4 linked regions of the Drosophila melanogaster genome follow. The protein of the gene in region 4 purifies or fractionates together with the protein of the main gene of each other region. This does not show direct contact. Each region holds a gene or a part of one and is shown on either strand. Other genes may lie near its edges.

Region 1 (4,530 bases), on a different chromosome or scaffold from region 4:
ACCATAATATATATATATATATATATTAATTAGATTTATTGCATACAAGGCCGTCTGAACCACAATGGTACGTAGGCCCACTTCCTACGCTGAAAATATCATGTCATGTCCTCTTCAAGGGCGAATTACTTTTGTTTATGCAGCATTTGCTCGAAAGTTGAGGTAGGTAGGGCAAATCATTGTCAATAAATAAAAAAGGTCTATAAATAAACTAATGTGAATGAAATTATCAATCATCACAACATAACCATGTCCAAAACAAACACAGCCGGTGAAAAGATTTCTATTGTTTTTAGCTGGGAGAAACCCGATTAAATAAACATAAATTTGTGAATCCAAATAATACAATGAGAAAATGTACAAATACCTCGCTTTTGTCAAAACCTACATTAATGAGCCTATTAACATTTATACCAACACTCTAAACATTAATCAGCTTTCTTGGACTACAAAACGCAGTCTCATAATCCTCGTAAAATGATTGATATCTCTCTTATTAATTATAAGAAACCCCAACAAAAACCATAATTGTTTAGACTTGTGAACAAAATTGGATCCGACTTTATTGATTACGTTGTTAAGAGAACAAATCTTTTACAACTGAATTCATTTGTTCTCGTTTCATTTTTTTTCGCAAAACATTGATCGAGAATTCGATTGATTTCCGATTCGAATTTAGTTCTCGTCGACCTCAGCCTCCTGCTCCTCCTCGAACTCGGCGTCCTCGTCGGCGGTGGCCTCCTGGTACTGCTGGTACTCGGACACCAGATCGTTCATGTTGCTCTCGGCCTCGGTGAACTCCATCTCGTCCATGCCCTCGCCGGTGTACCAATGCAAGAAAGCCTTGCGCCTGAACATAGCGGTGAACTGCTCGGAGATGCGCTTGAACAGCTCCTGGATGGCAGTGGAGTTGCCGATGAAGGTGGCGGACATCTTCAGACCACGGGGCGGGATGTCGCACACGGCGGTCTTCACGTTGTTGGGGATCCATTCGACGAAGTAGGAGCTGTTCTTGTTCTGGATGTTCAGCATCTGCTCGTCGACCTCCTTCATGGACATGCGTCCACGGAAGATGGCGGCGACGGTAAGGTAGCGTCCGTGGCGTGGGTCGCAGGCGGCCATCATGTTCTTGGCATCGAACATCTGCTGGGTCAGCTCGGGCACGGTGAGGGCGCGGTACTGCTGGGATCCTCGGGAGGTCAGGGGAGCGAAGCCGGGCATGAAGAAGTGAAGACGTGGGAAGGGCACCATGTTGACGGCCAGCTTGCGGAGATCAGCGTTCAGTTGGCCGGGGAATCGGAGGCAGGTGGTTACGCCGGACATGGTCAGGGAGACAAGATGGTTCAGGTCACCGTATGTGGGTGTCGTCAGCTTGAGGGTGCGGAAGCAGATATCGTAGAGAGCCTCGTTGTCGATGCAGTAGGTCTCGTCCGTGTTCTCGACCAGCTGGTGCACCGACAGGGTGGCGTTGTAGGGCTCCACAACGGTGTCCGACACCTTGGGCGACGGCACAACCGAGTATGTGTTCATGATCCTGTCGGGGTACTCCTCGCGGATCTTGGAAATCAGCAGGGTTCCCATACCGGAGCCAGTGCCGCCGCCAAGGGAGTGTGTGAGTTGGAAGCCTTGCAGGCAGTCGCAGGATTCGGCCTCCTTGCGGACAACATCGAGCACTGAGTCCACCAGCTCAGCACCCTCTGTGTAATGACCCTTGGCCCAGTTGTTGCCGGCACCCGACTGGCCGAACACAAAGTTGTCGGGCCTGAAGATCTGGCCGAAAGGTCCCGATCGCACAGAGTCCATGGTGCCGGGCTCCAGATCGACAAGGACAGCGCGGGGCACGTACTTGCCACCGGACGCCTCATTGTAGTACACATTGATGCGCTCCAGCTGCAGGTCGCTGTCACCGTGGTAGGCGCCGGTGGCATCGATGCCATGCTCATCGGAGATGATCTCCCAGAACTGCAAATGAGAAATGGAAGTAAAGAATTTGGGATTAGTGCGATTAGGACTTGCAGGTGCTGTACAGCATTTCTTGTGAACATGAGTCAGCAGGAAAATCGATTACTAGGGGGTGTTTTCTAACTCAGTCTTAAGAAAATGTATGAATGACTTGGCCAATGAGTCATCACAGAAAATCAATGGTAGTAAAATTACTCAAAGCCTAGACCATCTGCTGCATACATATATACAGCTAGTATTTATTTGACTGCTTCACATAAATCACAAAAGAAGTTTATGCTTAAGCAACGGTAACTTTTATTTGCACAAGAGTACTGCAGTTGAAGAAAACTTTTACTAATCACTGAAACTCATTTCCAATTCTGCAAGTAATTTGCTTAAAATTTTTCTTCCATACCCAGTGAAAGTTGATGCATGTGAAAGGCAATCTTATTTTCTTGTTTTTCTCTTAACTTATACAGATAACTTCGATACAGAAACCTTCTCGAACAAAATGTGTGATGGGTTATGGAAAGTCAGTCTATATATAACTCTTTATTGATTGGAATAAATGGGCACAAGAAGCAGCCGATGTACATACACATGTCTGGGCTCGGCTACGTGGTTTAGGCCACCCATGTACGCCATCATAAACTCTGTGTATGGGCCGAGCTCCGATTAACATAACTTATTCGCTGCCATTTTTGGTGCGTTTCCACCACCACGACCAGCAGCACCATCGCCACACCAACGATAACGTCATCTGGCGTGGGTTTTCGTTTCGGATCTCGAGGCGCAGCTGTCATTGCGTTCCGCCGACCGATCTTACTCGAATCTTCGGGCGTGGGCTGGAACTGAGCTGTATAACTACTATCTGTCTGTCTGTCTATATGTCTACGTGCTGCCCCCACGCAATGCCGGCGACCTCAGAGCCGGGCTCTGCCACCCCAAAAAGCCCCCCTGCTTCCGATGCGGCTTACATCACCGGTTGTTCGGGTCTCGCGACCCACTCTCGTCTCTGCAAGAGGGAAACGGAGGAGGAGTGGGAGGAGCAGTGGGTACCAGTTGGAGAGAGGCGTTGGCGTTGTCTGTTTGCTGAGAGGTTAAAACTGCAGCTCAGTGCTCCAACTACCGACCATCTGGCGCATAAATCGTCTGTTTTTCAGGGCATTACGTCACCTGAACTTTTTGCGATGGTCGTTGTTTATGTCGCGTAAACAAATAAAAACAATTAACCGAAATAAGTCGCTACACTGGTATTGGAGGAAATGCGTGGTTGACACTCGTTTAGCGAAATGACACCGTCATACCGGATTCTATGTATATAAAGTGTATATATAAATATAGAAATACACATTTGTAAGCCGGTCGGGTCGAAAGCGAGAGAGAGAGATATTGAGAGCCATACTTGGGCACAACAATTCTGATGTTGCAGCTGCTCGGGTTTTAAGGCGTTTCCGAGGGTTGTTTTCGGCTCATGGGCCCATGCCCAGCATGTGGGTATTGATTTTTCGGGCAAGGACTAGAAAGATTCGTCATCATCAACATCACCTTCGTGTCCTGTGCCCCGTTATCCCACACGCATGTGCAGCACCGCCCTTCTCGGTTTCGTTGCTTTTTGTGTGCGAGAGGAAACTGGGATAGAGACAAACAGATGGCAAATTCCTCTATATAAGGTCATCATCTCACCTTGCAGACTCCCAATTCCTACTGCTAAAAGTAAAGTTTCATTTTGGCACATAATGGCCGAAAGAGAACCGAAATCTGTCTATACTATAGTCATGAATAAAAAATAGAAAATTGTTTCATTCCATGATAAGATAGAGAAGCCGCCGAAGTAGCGCAATTTTAAGTAGGGAGCAGAGTGTGGAATGCATGAAAATCAATAGAACAGCTAATGCAGCCTACGAACACATATATCTACATACTTATATCCCATCTACGTATAAGATCAACTCTTATACGTTCTGCGAACCGTTCAACGACGACCGGTTCAGCCATTTTAGGTTAAAATGACGTCATGTTTTCTCTTTAGAAGACGCATAGCGGCAAAAAAAAAAAAATTAAATGAAAAAACCGGCCGACGCTCACACATACAAATGAGCAGCAAGCTCTTATGTGCGTGTAGAAAAGCTATCGTGTTTTGACGATAGAAAAGTACCCTTCACCATCTGGGCAGTGAAATGGCTTTCACAACCGGTGAAAAACTATGAAAGTCTTTCGCCCAAGAGAAAATGACTCATGCATGCAACACGCACACAGGCATACACACAGCCACCAGCGTCGGTGTAATTGCAGACACACCCAACTATAATTACTTACATATGTACATACATATGGGCACGAAGTACATATGCGAATGTCAATGGCCCTAAAGCATTATATCGATCGGAAATTCGGGCGTAACAAACTTTCGTTCTAAATTTTGGACCCCAAATGCCAGAGTAGAACAACAATTTTCAAGCATCTTTGCGAAATCGGACAAATATGCGGTATATACAAACACAGATGCCGGGACTCAAAAAGACCACTCGACACACACACGCACACAACTTGGTATACATAAATGCAAATGTGTGAGTGTGAAAA
Region 2 (4,513 bases), on a different chromosome or scaffold from region 4:
CTGAAGATCATGATGAGGTGGAAGAGGCAGCTGAAGAGCAACACGATGATGTGGAGTTCATTGAAGAGGAGCCGGGCGAGAAGAGCAATGATGTAGAGGTCACTCCTGAAGCGGAGGGCGAGGAGTGCGAAGAGCCTCATCAGGAGGAAGAGAATTGCAACGCTGAGGTGGTTAATGAAGACACATGCTCCTTGTAAGCAAGCCGATGGGTAACGGGATTCATGGTAACGAAAAACTTCCTTGATTTATAAAATGTGCTTTATATATCTAACTCTTTTCTTCTTCAATACAATAGGAACATTTTAAACTGAATAACACACCCTAAACATATTTGACATACGAAATGACATGACAACGGAACAAGGACAGCAGTATCGTGCAGCTTCACAAGTGAATTCTCACTGCAATATCAGTTCATACTGCCTCAAGTCGACATTAACCATAAGGATTTCATATTATAAAATACACCAAAGAAATATGTAATATACTTCTCAATAAACACTCACTACCACATTTAAAAACTGTTTTTTATTTAATGTGTCACATATTAAACATGATCGGGAAATCTCATGTGTAATTTTGCAACAATGGAAATACGAACGTTAAATATCGTAAAAGACGAAACAGCGTTTACATACATGCGAGTCATACCAACAATCGTCTTATCACTACTACTTAAGGATTTCGAATCCCATCGTCATTGGAGAATATTACATTTTAAAATACATTGGTTAAGATGCATGGCACGCATTTCTTCTGGCACAAGCGAACTAGGAACCGGCGCTGGTCACAGATCGACTATCCTCCGACTTGGAGTCAACTGGCCCATTTCCCCGCTTCACTGAAAACTGCATGTAGTCCTCACGCGTGGCTGCCTCATACTCTTGCACCAGGCAGTCAACAGTTTCGCGAGATTCGTCCAGCTCATTGAGGTCGTCCTTGAAGATGTCCTCGCGTCGAAACTGGTCAAGAAAGGCGCCGCGCTTGCGAAGCTTGTCATACTGGTTGAGAGCTCGCTCGAAAAGCGAGCAAATGCTGGTGTGGTTGGCCAGCATCAGTCCGGACACTCGATGGTTGCTCTGCACGTAGGGCGATGAGCGGGAAAGGGCTACCTGGATAGAGGTGGGGCCCCAGGGAATGAACTGGGCCATCTTGCGGTCGCGGATGCGCTGCAGTGACTTGTGCACTTGAGTGGGATCCACCTCGCCCTGGATAATGTTTAGAATGGAGATGTAGCAGTGATGATTTGACTTGTCGGGACCAGTGGACACCATCATGTTCTTGGGCTGCAACAGACGCCGCATTACATCTAGAACAGTAGTCTTTCGCACATTAACCAGCTGCTGGGTATGGATATCCGAATCGCTAGTCAGCGGCGTGTAGCCTGTCATGAGAAAATGCAGCTGGGGCGTCGGGATTAAAGGAGCCGTCAGCCCAATGAGATTGTTGTTCATGTAGGATGGATACCTCAGCGTAGTGGTGCTGACGCTCATTATGGTGGAGACCAGGTTGTTGATCTGCGAAAAGCTGGGATTCTGAATGTGCAAGCGATCGCAGGCAATACGATTAAGAGCAGTGTTGTCCAGGACAACCACACTGTCCGCAGCCGTAGTCAAACGTTTCAGGGTGAGCATGGAGTTGTATGGCTGCACCACTACATCACTGATCTCGTCCTGATTGGGAAACACACTGAATGTTTGGATAAGTTTCTTGGGATAGCGGTCCGCCAGGCGCTCCATGATAAAGGAGCCCATTCCCGATCCCGTTCCGCCAGCAATCGAATGGCAAAGTATAAAGCCCTCCAACGAATCGCTTCCATCTGCCTCACGGTCAATGATGTCGAATACCTCTTCTTGCAGCTTTTCGCCCTGGCTATAGCCTGAGGCCCAGTTGTTGCCCGCACCGCCTCCGTGCTTGGATAGGTACACATTTTCCGGATTGTAGAGCTACGGGAGTTAATAGTAGGTTTGGCGCAAAAAATTAAAAGTTATTTAGAGAGGACTCACCTTGGAGTAGACCGAGCCCATTATGGTATTGATCACCCTCGGTTCCAAGTCCAAGAGCACCGCGCGGGGTATGTAGTGGTCGTCGTCCGCCTGGTAGAAGAACACATCCTTGCGGTCCAAGCCATCATTGGCAAAGTCCTCCAGCACGCCGCTAGGGGAGATGCCATGCTCCAGGCACAATCTTTTCCAGAACTCAAAGCCAACTGCGTTTAAACGATTTTAGCAATGCAGATGGTACTCGTCCTGATTTCAGAAACCTACTTTGATTGCCGCACTGCCCAAGCTGCAAAGTAATTATTTCACTTGGCATTGTGGTGTGTTGTTTCCGGCCAGAATCGTCAAGTGAAGTTTCGCGTTTAAGGTCGAATTAGTCGAAATAAAATAAAACACAACTAAAAGATCGTCGAATTATAACAAAATTTTTAAAAAATCCCACAGCGGGGACGTACTTTGTAATTTTAAGAAAGTCCAGTGTTGATAACACCGCAGCGTTTAATGGCGTCCTCATTTGAAAGGTGGCGCAGTGTGCCCTCTGTTATAAAATATATATGATTACTTAAGACCTTTATTGTGAATTAAATAAATAAAAATAAACATTACATTTTTCTACTTTGTATTTTGGAAAGGCAAAAAAGTGTTGGAAATCTAAGACTATGAGTTAGAAAGATCGAAACATGTCATGAATATCAATCTAATAGTTCAATACTAAGCTTAACTTGAATATAATTTTCTATAAGAAAGTTTTTCAATTAGGTTATTGAGCTCCACCCATTTTGTACTACTAATGACGTCGAACTATTTGTACTACTAGTGACGTCACAATGTGCAATATTTGCTCCACAGTCGTGTTTTTCCAAGGAAGGCACACAAATAGTGTTGTAAGCAGACCAAAGTCAAGCCGACCGGCTTGCAAAAATCGCGTTGCCCGCGCAGTTTTCTTTTTGTTGATATCGGGTGCTGAACCAAGCGACAGTGGCTCTGCAAAACAAGCAAAAGAAAAAGCTGGAAATCTGTGGAAGTAAATACAAGTCATTTTTGAGAACCTATCAGTCCGAGCAGTAGAACTCCATAATGCCGCGTGTCAAGGCCGTGAAAAAACAAGCAGAGGCGTTGGCATCTGAACCCACTGACCCCACTCCAAATGCCAATGGGAATGGAGTCGACGAAAACGCAGACTCTGCCGCTGAGGAACTCAAGGTGCCGGCAAAAGGAAAGCCGCGCGCGAGGAAAGCCACCAAGACGGCTGTATCTGCGGAAAACTCCGAGGAAGTCGAGCCACAAAAGGCGCCCACTGCAGCCGCGCGTGGCAAGAAGAAGCAGCCGAAGGATACAGACGAAAACGGCCAGATGGAGGTGGTGGCCAAGCCGAAGGGACGCGCCAAGAAGGCAACTGCAGAAGCAGAACCAGAACCCAAAGTCGATCTACCAGCTGGAAAGGCAACTAAGCCACGTGCCAAAAAAGAGCCCACTCCTGCTCCTGACGAAGTGACGTCTTCACCGCCTAAGGGACGCGCTAAGGCTGAGAAACCAACGAATGCCCAGGCCAAAGGACGGAAGCGAAAGGAGCTGCCGGCAGAAGCAAATGGAGGGGCCGAGGAAGCAGCAGAGCCGCCGAAACAACGGGCAAGAAAGGAAGCAGTACCAACGTTAAAGGAGCAAGCTGAACCAGGGACAATAAGCAAAGAGAAGGTGCAGAAAGCTGAGACAGCTGCCAAGCGGGCACGCGGAACCAAGCGTTTGGCAGATTCTGAGATCGCAGCTGCTCTCGATGAGCCGGAAGTGGATGAGGTGCCGCCAAAGGCTGCTAGCAAGCGAGCAAAGAAGGGAAAGATGGTTGAGCCATCGCCCGAGACTGTAGGAGATTTTCAATCAGTACAAGAAGAAGTGGAATCGCCTCCAAAAACTGCAGCTGCACCCAAGAAACGCGCCAAGAAAACAACCAATGGTGAGACTGCGGTAGAACTTGAGCCAAAGACCAAGGCAAAGCCCACTAAACAGCGCGCTAAGAAGGAAGGCAAGGAGCCAGCACCCGGGAAGAAGCAGAAGAAATCCGCCGATAAGGAAAACGGTGTAGTTGAAGAAGAAGCCAAGCCCTCTACTGAAACCAAGCCAGGTGGGAAACTGTCAAATCAATGTAAATGATGAAACCATGATTAACTATCTTTAATCCGCAGCTAAAGGACGGAAAAAGGCTCCAGTCAAGGCAGAGGATGTCGAAGATATTGAGGAGGCAGCAGAGGAAAGTAAACCAGGTGGGCACATTGTCAACAATAACTTTAATATCAATGCCACGCTAATCATATTCTATTTGCAGCTCGAGGCCGAAAAAAGGCGGCTGCGAAGGCTGAAGAACCCGATGTCGATGAGGAGAGTGGATCGAAAAGTATGTTAGCGGAGCAATCCGGCTGCGGTGGAGCTGCCGTATTAAAAAGCTTGCAAACCATGCTCAACTTTTGTTTTCCAGCCACCAAAAAAGCCAAGAAGGCCGAGACCAAAACCACTGTAAC
Region 3 (4,192 bases), on a different chromosome or scaffold from region 4:
CAGCACATGATCTTCCAAGTGAAAGGAAAGCTAAGAATTAATCATATAAATTGTTTTCACTTACGATTTTATTTTGTCTTGGGGAAAAGCGTTCAGGGTATCCTAATTTCCTTCTAAAAGGGCAGCTAAGTGGACTTTAAACCAAATTAGATTGTTCTCTATGCAATGTGAACTAAACACTTACATTTGGCCTATTTACAGAAATAGGATCTTAGAAACAACAAAATAGGTACCGGAAAACGTAAGACACAAACTATTTTCAAAGGTGTTAACACATCGAATTTTGGAATACGAATGGAAAATTCATTTCGCTCAGTCTGTTACGGGGAAATGTGAAGTGACATGAAAAATCAAAGCCAATATGACTATAAAAATGTACACATATCAAGATACATGTGGATGTGGAATTAGTGATTGTGTTGACCAACTTTAAACTAACTAACGAATAAGTAAATTTTAGTTATTGTATATCCTTAGTTGAATAAAAAACCCTTTTTTTCACACAAAAGTTGATATCAGAACTTTTGTGTGTTGAGGTGTGATCGTTACTACTTCCTACCTCGTTCAGAGTTATTTTTGCTTGATTTATGTAAGTTGAATCATTCCTGGAAACTTTTATAATTCCTAAATTGATTATAAAGTATTTTAAATACATATATTATTGTTGATAAAAAAAATAAAAAGTATTGACGGTTGAATTATAAATAATTATCGATTAACCGGCTTTCGAAGCTTCGACAGCAGGACTCCACTGGGGATAATCGATCTGGGTGGCTGCCTCATATTCCTGCACCAAGCAGTCAACCGTGTCCCGTGCGATGTCCAGTTCGGTCAGGTCGTCCTGGAACATGGATTCGCGGCGAAAGTTGTCGAGGAAGGCGTTGCGCTTCCTCAGCTTATCGTACTGGGCCAAGGCCCTCTTGAAGAGCGAACTGATACCCGTGTGATTGGCCATCATCAATCCGGATACCTTGTGGGCCGACTGCACATAGGGCGAGCTGCGCGGCAGAGCCACTTGGATGCTGGCCGGACCCCATGGTATGAAGTTGGCCAGCTTTCGCTCGCGGATGCGCTGCAGCGACTTGTGCACCTGGGATGGATCCACCTCGCCCTGGATGATGTTCAGTATGGAGACGAAGCACTGGCGGCTCTGCTTGTCCGTCAGCGCGGAAACCATCATGTTCTTCGGCTGCAGAAGGCGACGCATTACATCCAAAACGGTGGTCTTTCGAACGCTTGTCTTGGTCTGAAAGTGGTTGCCTCTTTTTATTTGCATTCCCATTTACATATGTCATATCATCATACCTCGCAGTCGGACATTAGCGGAGTATATCCCGTCATCAGGAAGTGCAGCTGGGGCGTGGGAATGAGCGAGGCGGTCAGACCGATGAGGTTGTTGTTCATGTACGAGGGATATCGCAGGGTGGTGGTGCTCAGACTCATGATGGTGGACACCAGATTGTTGATCTGCGTAAAAGTGGGCGTTTGGATGTGCAATCTTTCGGTGGCGATGCGGTTCAGTGCGGTATTATCCAGCACCACCACACTGTCCGCGCACTTGGTCAAACGCTTCAGGGTAAGGATCGAGTTATATGGCTGCACAACCACGTCGCTGATCTCGTCCTGATTGGGAAAAACGCTGTACGTCTGTATGAGCTTCTTGGGAAAGCGTTCGGACAGCCGTTCCAGGACATATGAGCCCATTCCGGACCCAGTTCCGCCGGCTATCGAGTGGCAGAGCACGAATCCCTCCAGCGAATCGCTGCCATCGGCCTCGCGGTCCAGAATGTCGAACACCTCCTCCTGCACCTTCTCACCCTGGCTAAAGCCGGACGCCCAGTTGTTTCCTGCTCCACCGCCGTGCTTGGAGAGGAACACATTCTCCTGGTTGTACAACTGCAAAGGGGAAACACATATCCATCTACATAGTTTTTTAAATGAAATACATAAAATAAAGTAGATTAGATCAGAATCCGATCCAATAAGACCAGTTTCCGCACTGACCTTGGAGTACGGAGAGGTCATGATGTTGTTAATGACTCTGGGCTCTAAGTCTATGAGAACGGCCCGCGGTATGTAATGGTTGTCGTCCGCCTGGTAAAAGAACACATCCTTGCGATCCTGTCCATCGGTGGCGAAGTCTTCCAGGACGCCATCCGGGGAGATGCCGTGCTCCAGGCACAATCTCTTCCAGAACTCGAAACCAACTGCGGAATGGAGTGATCTCGATCAAGCCGGAGCTTCTCTTAACTTCGATTTCGACGTGAAGAACTTACTTTGATTGCCACATTGGCCCAATTGAAGGGTTATAATCTCGCTGGGCATTTTGCTCGAATTGCAGTTTAGTTAATTTCGCTTCTTTCTCAGTAAATAATAACTGTGCATCGAAGGCCAACTGGAGATGGAAGTGGAAGTCATTAATATCGATATACAAGAAGTACAATACAACAGTAAGTTATTACCTATTTTTCTTTACTAATCTTTATGATTTATTTAATGTTATTGGACTTATAGAAAATACTTAGAATTAAGATTTGATCCATTTTTTTTTTAAATATTTAGGTTCAAATAAATTAGCCATAGTTATATATTTTTTATGTTTTCATTTACATAAAACATTAACTGTTATTTTTTTAAATTTAAAGGACTAGCTTTTTCAATTGTACAGCACACCCTGTGGCTGCGAGTAACGGTTCTCGGGAGTCGTTATTTTCTGAGAAGCGCGCAACGTGCACACTGGCAGGCTGATTGAAAAAATTCGTTGCAAATGTTTATGTACAAATATTGAATAAAAAATAAAAATGCTGCGGCAGGAGAACTTGGCAGCCAACTTCTGCGGTCTCCTGGCCAGCCAGGGCTATAAAGGTGAGTTCGTATTTCGCCAATTTACTCCGAGCCTCATGGATGTCCGTAAAAATCGCAGAGAAGGCAAACGAGTGGCGCATTTTGGGCCAGGAACAGGATGGATCTCTGCTCACGTCCTGGATATTCGAGTACGCGGACGAGGATCAGCGCAAGGAGACGTGCATTGGCCACTTTCACGCCACCAAGAAGCAGCTGCGACTCCTTTGGACCCTCGACAATTGCCGTGAGATCGTCCAGGCAACGATTAACAGCAGTGTCACATTGCTGTCCTTCGTGGAGAAAACTGAGGGCAAGCTCTATCAGGCCTTTGTCGTGGAGGTAAGGAGCTCCGAAGGTGGCACGGCCACGCCCCTCAACTCGGAGCCCTCCAACCGCCAGATGATGACGCAGTTCCTGTGGCGCGTCGAGAGTGCCACGCGCACCTGCTGGCAGGACAAGCTACTGGTGCTCACCCACGAGGAATGTAGGTGTCATGTATATGTCATTATCCACCTCTAACTCCCATGCTCGTACCTGTTTTTTCTAGCCATCAAGCAGTACAGCTGCGTGGTCAAGCAGAGCTCCACCACATGCTCGACTGGCGGAGGCGAGGGCAGCGCCTGGAGGCTAGACACCAGCATACTGACCTACGAAACGCTGGCCAGGAACTTTAGCTGGGCCCAGTGGGATCCCGAGTGCCAGGCTCTTTATTACATTCACTTGAAGCCGAAGGCCAAGAGCCTCAGTCTGCTGGACGAGAGGGAGGAGGCTGGCGAGCAGACAACTCCTACTTTAAGCCCCACGCTCTCCGCCTTTCAGTTTAACGAAAAACAGCCAACGGAAACAGTGGTAGGTACTTAAAGATTAAAGTATTACGTATAGGTGTAGTTACATCTTTCTATTGCAGCTTAATATACCCCTCAATTTGCCAAAGCTGCCCAATGGCTCCAAAGAGGAATCGCCAAGCTACGATGACGATGCGGTTCCCTTGCGCGTGCACGATAGTTCGCTAAATCTCATCATACTGGCGGACACCTCGGGCATGTTTTTCGTCTGTCACTACTACCTGTACCAGCCGATGCAGTCGGAGCAAAGGGATGTGCACTTTGCCTACTCGGTGACTTTGCTTCACCACGGCTATGTGGTGCACTGCGTCATGCCCGGTGTGCCGTGGCAAAAGGCCCGTCTGCTGAGGCCAACATTTGCGCTACACGGCCAGCATCACTTGCTGGTGTCGTCCGCCTTTTTTGTCCACCTCTTGGACGTGGGACTGCAGCACGAACCGAACTGCCATATCGTGTGTGCAGCCCACAATCGAAGTCCCGATATCACACAGCTGGTGCCTTTG
Region 4 (5,329 bases):
GCCGGTGGCCTCCATTCACGAGCTGACGCCGGCTCAACGGCCGCAGTTCACGCTGCTGTATATTATTCTCATGTACATCTTCCTGCGCGGCAACCGCATCGAGGACTCGAAACTGTACGTTATGCTGGAGATGCTCAACATCTATCCAGACGAAGAACATGGCTACTTCGGCCCCAATCTGCGCAAACAGATCGAGGAGACGTTTGTGAAGCAACAATATCTGAAGCGGGAACGCTCACAGCTAAGTGCTTACGATGATTCCAAGACTTTCTTCCTTTGGGGACCACGTGCCAAGGCGGAGTTCACATTCGAGCAAATGGTGCAATTCGCCTCCAAGCTGCTCAATCAGCATCCCAAGGTCTTCGGCCATCACCTCTCCATGGCCCAAGAAGGAGTAAACGCGGAGTAGAATACCATTCTATGAATAATTTACTACATTTGATCTAACAAATTGAAAACCAAACAATATATATAATAATCTAAAATAGAGCCAATTTCCCATTTATCAGCAAGAAAAGAATATTACGATGATCTTTTAAAAATAGCACGTCTTTTCTATTTATCTAAAACTTAAGTTAATTTACTTAACAACGGAAGCAGAGACCCGACTCTAATACTTGGCATAGTCTGTGTCCATTATGAGCTTGCCATCCTTGTCCTTCAAACGAACGCGGCCGTTGGAGTAGCGCGTCTCTTGGCTGCCATCCGGATACACTAGCTTCACAGTGCCGTCCGGATACTCCCTTCGCTTGTTTAGTTTGGTGTGAATCTCCTTTTGGCCATTGGGCAGATTGAGAATCTTGTCACCATTCCGGAGCTGCACTAGATGGGTTCCATCCGCATAACGCCACTCCTCCAGTTTCTCCGTATCGCTGGGATCCACAATCTTAATGCTGTTGTTGGGAAAGTGAATCTCAACAGTGCCATCCTTGCGGCGATGTTCCGTCTGCCCGTTGGGAAACTCGAGTATTTCCAAGCCATCTAGGTAGGAGGTGTGCCAAGTGTTGGTCTCAGCGTAGTAATACTTCACTGTGCCTTCCCTGATGTTAGTTTCCTTGATATCCTTGTTGAAATAGAGCATGCGCAAGTTCATGCCATCGGCGCTTATCTTTTTTAGATTGCCGTTTGGGTACCAAATGTCCTTGCTCCCATCCGCATTCGTAATCTCCCGCTTAAAGTCACTGCTGGAGTTGGCAGCCGGTGGGGGGGTAGCAGCTTTCGGAGCGGTCACGGGCGGCTGAACTTCCTCCGATTCCACAGAACTACTAGAGGCGTAGCTCTCATCCAGAGCGTATGGTGTTTTCTTATTCCTGCTCAGTGAGCGACTCCGACTTCTCACTTGGGCACTGCCGCTACTCTGACGACGGTTTTGCGCCTCTCGCTGCTTGGCAGGCTTACCAGCAGTGCCGTCCAGAGATTGGGTGCGCCGACCGTTCTCATCGAGGATATCGGACATTGTCGCGGAAGGTAACTAAATGAAGACATTAGTTACATTACGATATACACACAAGCATGCACTTACCACTTTGGGGGCAAGCCGGGCTATGTTTCGATTGATCTCCTGCAGCATCTTGCTGTTGTTTTCGCGGCCAATCTTGACCAGCTCTTGCTCTAGGCGCTTGTTCTCCTTGCGCAGCAGCTCGATCTCGTCACGGTAGTTTCGCTGCTCCTTCTCACTGGCCCGCAGTTGAGCGCGGAGTCGTGCCTGTGCCGAGACATGCGCCTGCTCCTTTTGTTTGAGCTGGAGTTGCAGTCCCTCCACTTCCTGTTTCAAGGCGGCTATCTCCTTTTTTTCCTTGCTGTTTGCATTGCTCTTTTGAAGTCGCATTTGCTGCTCGAACTTGCGTCGTTCCTCCTCAATCTTCATGCGCTCGTCGTGCAGATAAATTTCAGCTTGAATCTTTTCGTCATGGACGCGTTCCATGGCCTCCATGTGATCCTGTGTGCACTTTGCCTTCTCCAATTCGTGTTGCTGCCTCAGGCGAAGGAGTTGGGCATTCTGCTCCTTGAAGGTGGCTATCTCTGTCTCCAGCTCTTCGAGGCGAGTGCGAACGAGATTGGCTTTCTCCTGAAGATCTTTGGTTATGGGTTCGTCTGACTCCTTGCTGGGACTTGACTTCTTCTTCTGTTCCAATGCCTGGAAGAGGGCGGACTTGAACTGTTCAAAGAGCTGAATATTGGAGCCGTCGTTGAGGCTGGTGGCATCGGAGTACTCGTGCGTGTCATTGGAGTCGGAGAAACGCACTCGCACTTTAGTATTCCCCACCTGGATGGGTGTCATTGTGAGGGTCTGATCGCTGGACGGTTCGGTGTCCTCCTCGTCCCCCTCCTGCAGTTCCTGCACCAGCATCTGGTCCACCTGTGGCTGCAATCGCATCTGACGCACCTGCTGTGTGACTACAATGTGATCGGAGTCATCAGCTACTCGGCGACGCTGATCTTTGCGCGCCATAAAGGTTCGAATGCAGCTGGAGTTCATATCAATGTTTCCCTCAGTGGCCTTCTGCTCGAGCAGCTCGAATATGCTTACATTGCTGTCATCTTCCACTCGGATTTGAGCAGAGCGTCTTTGGATTTGCGCTGGCTTTATACTCTGTGTGTCCAGCACCTTGGCCCAGCAAACTCCTGTCATGGGACTAGCTTCCGAGGAGGCTTCATCATCGGCATGAGTGGTTTGTCCCGCCCTGCTCTTCTGCTCTACAAAACGAACTCTGGGCGAGGTGCTCGAGGCGGTTGTGGAGGACGCATAGGAAGACTTTAGATCTGGAGTGGAACTGCAGGCGTTCTTGCCGATAAGCATCTGCTGAAAGCGCTGCTCGTTGAGATCGTCGAGCTGTGCTGAGGGTTTGGGAGCTGGTGGAGGCGCAGGATTGGGAGGTGACTTGACTTGCTTCTTGAGAATACCCTTTTTCATTTGAGGCGTGCGGAACTGAGGGTGGGCATTAGCGAACTTGTATCGCGGCAGGTTTTCCAGGCGCAGCTGGTCGGGATTGATCTTGAACCGCTGCTTTAGACCTTCGCCGCGACGCAGAAAAGGGCGTTTAGGCTTGGCCGGCTGGGGATCAGCCATTGAAATCTCTGGCTCGTGCTCGTCCGGATCCGCCGCGAGTCGCGGCATTTGTATAGAGTGCTCCTCGTCCCACTCCTCCAGCACACTGTTTTCATGGCTTTCCGTTTCCTGGTGTAGCAGTCCCAGCATTTTGTACATATTACGTTGCTCCAAGCCGAGCAAAACGCGGTGATTGGACTGCCGCTCCTGCAGCAGCCGCTTCTGCTCGTCCTGCCAACGACTAAGCGCCGCGAGACGCTGTGCGATGGCCTCCTGGCTCAGAGGCATTCCAACAGGACTTTCGCCAGCCTCCTGCATGCTTTTATATTCGTTCTTAGAATCGCAGTTTTGTTTAGACGCCGTACGCGTAGGGGAATTTAAAATTACGGCAGCAGTTGTCCAACACTGTACCAGTGGCAACTCTGCGGTCAGGGATGGTGCTAGACATGCATTTTGATTAGATTTAATTTTTTATTAAAAATAAAATATTGTACATTTTCTTAAGCAATATGAAAAATTGATTTTTTTCAATCCTGATCCCCTTCCTCCGGTTCATCAAAGTCCTTAACGTTCACGTCTGCATCCTCGCCGTACTGCAAGATACTGTCAATTTGTAGCAGAAGATCGCCCACGCTCTCCTCGTCCTGGGAATCCAACGGGAAAAATCTCACCAAACTGTAAGTGAATAATAAACATCAATATTTACAATTTTTGAACGTCACAAAAATAACCGATTTTGATAAGTGGCAACGCCACCGCATAGCTCGCAGCCCTCGTATCCCACACAAAAGCATTTTTCGACGCGTCGCAAAAGAAAATGTGCTTGTGCAATTAAAATCGAGTGATAAAAACCAAATATAAACCCTTTTAGTGCATCAAACTGCAATAAATCAGTGCGTTTGGGTAAATGGCCGGCGTTTGCAAAAAGGCGCGCAAATAGTGAGCTGACGAAATACCACCAAAAATCCCAACCAACAAATCCCAGGCAGCCAGCCACTAAAAAAATCGCCTAATTTACGATACAAAACACTTTTCGAGGGCAAATCGAAAAACGCTGAATTCCGGGCTCGGGCCAAACAGCGCACCAATTCAAAAATGGAGACGCCCGTCGAGGAGCACGGCATGGACCTGACCAAGGTGTCCGTGGTGCGCTCCGCCAAGGGCGTGGATATGCTCTGCGTGGACGACTATCTGTACCACTTCGATCGCATCGGGCGGAATAACACCTACCGATGGCTGTGCAACAGGCGCAAGGACAAGTCCACTCCCTGCAAGTCCCGCATCTGCACCATGCTGCCCGATCCGCTGGACAAGACGCGCCACGTCGTCGTGGACGTCGTTCTGGCCCACATCCACCCGCGCTGCAGCGATCACGAGGTCAACAAGGTGGCCCAGCGCAAGCGGCTCTCCGTAATGATGATGAACGACGCTTACAGCACCACCCAGCCGAAGAGAGCACGCCTGTACGAGCGCGCCAACGCCGGCATGAATCCGCCGGAGTTCATCTACGGAAGCATCGACACCTCCACCGTGGAGGCCTCGTTCCAGTTGGACTTTGAGGTACGGCCCCAGGCCAACTGTACCTGGCTCATGCCCCTGAATACTCAACTCAACCATTTATTTAGAATCTAGCTGGGTCTCTTTTTCAGAAAGAACATTGATATTAATATTGATTCATATTTCGGTAACCACCGCTACTTTGAACATTTGATAATGTAAAAAAAAGGTTAATTTGCTCACCTTAGTAATGAGATGGTTTCCCGCCAATTTGTTTTTTATATTTATTTTCCTATTTGCAAATCCACCGGCTAGGCCGTTAAAAGGACAATAAATACCAAAGCTTAATCATTTATGATTCAAAAAATACTATATATCTCCAAACGAAACTAAATATTAGGGATTTTTGAAAAAAATGGGACCCAATCATTTTATAACATGCACCCTACTGAAGGGAATATCCAAGGGAATGAAATACTTTTGAACTTACACTTAACTTAATTTTACACCTAAATAGATTTCCCATGATGTACCATTTTTAATTCATATACAATTTTACAGCACAAAAATGACTAACACGAACTCTAATTCCGCAGGACAAGGATCGTGTGTACATGCTACGGCGCCGCGACGGCCGCGTGATGGTCTGCATCGACGGGCATCTGTACTACCTGGCCGGGAAATCCTACAAGGGCGACATATTCCGATGGACCTGTGTGCGCAAGCGTGACATTGAGTGCACGGCCAGGATCTGCACGGAGGCGACTTTGGCGGGGGCACATC

The links.
Region 1: the proteins of Sas-4 (region 4) and betaTub56D purify together in Drosophila melanogaster (affinity purification with western blotting, with the first as the bait; 2 studies listed by BioGRID). This does not show direct contact.
Region 2: the proteins of Sas-4 (region 4) and gammaTub23C purify together in Drosophila melanogaster (affinity purification with western blotting, with the first as the bait; 4 studies listed by BioGRID). This does not show direct contact.
Region 3: the proteins of Sas-4 (region 4) and gammaTub37C purify together in Drosophila melanogaster (affinity purification with western blotting, with the first as the bait; 4 studies listed by BioGRID). This does not show direct contact.

Annotation. Positions count from the first base shown.
Region 1 is NT_033778.4:19,446,785-19,451,314, forward strand, and holds betaTub56D (beta-Tubulin at 56D), read right to left. Parts: upstream 2,816-4,530; 5' UTR 2,627-2,815; coding exon 2,543-2,626; intron 1,963-2,542; coding exon 676-1,962; 3' UTR 535-675; downstream 1-534. UniProt on the Drosophila melanogaster protein: Tubulin is the major constituent of microtubules, a cylinder consisting of laterally associated linear protofilaments composed of alpha- and beta-tubulin heterodimers.
Region 2 is NT_033779.5:2,970,862-2,975,374, reverse strand, and holds gammaTub23C (gamma-Tubulin at 23C), read right to left. Parts: upstream 2,485-4,513; 5' UTR 2,317-2,484; coding exon 2,268-2,316; intron 2,210-2,267; coding exon 2,007-2,209; intron 1,947-2,006; coding exon 771-1,946; 3' UTR 517-770; downstream 1-516. Other genes in the region: CG9641 (uncharacterized protein), read left to right, coding at 1-197; Rrp1 (recombination repair protein 1), read left to right, coding at 3,078-4,119, 4,181-4,258, 4,321-4,513. UniProt on the Drosophila melanogaster protein: Tubulin is the major constituent of microtubules. The gamma chain is found at microtubule organizing centers (MTOC) such as the spindle poles or the centrosome, suggesting that it is involved in the minus-end nucleation of microtubule assembly.
Region 3 is NT_033779.5:19,183,328-19,187,519, forward strand, and holds gammaTub37C (gamma-Tubulin at 37C), read right to left. Parts: upstream 2,400-4,192; 5' UTR 2,326-2,399; coding exon 2,277-2,325; intron 2,208-2,276; coding exon 2,005-2,207; intron 1,897-2,004; coding exon 1,306-1,896; intron 1,247-1,305; coding exon 716-1,246; 3' UTR 536-715; downstream 1-535. Other genes in the region: CG46059 (uncharacterized protein), read right to left, coding at 1-8; pigeon, read left to right, coding at 2,802-2,865, 2,924-3,328, 3,392-3,693, 3,752-4,192. UniProt on the Drosophila melanogaster protein: Tubulin is the major constituent of microtubules. The gamma chain is found at microtubule organizing centers (MTOC) such as the spindle poles or the centrosome, suggesting that it is involved in the minus-end nucleation of microtubule assembly.
Region 4 is NT_033777.3:7,149,446-7,154,774, reverse strand, and holds Sas-4 (spindle assembly abnormal 4), read right to left. Parts: upstream 3,409-5,329; 5' UTR 3,368-3,408; coding exon 1,523-3,367; intron 1,472-1,522; coding exon 611-1,471; 3' UTR 556-610; downstream 1-555. Other genes in the region: MAGE, read left to right, coding at 1-409; gfzf (GST-containing FLYWCH zinc-finger protein), read left to right, coding at 4,145-4,609, 5,143-5,329; CG2656 (uncharacterized protein), read right to left, coding at 3,577-3,724.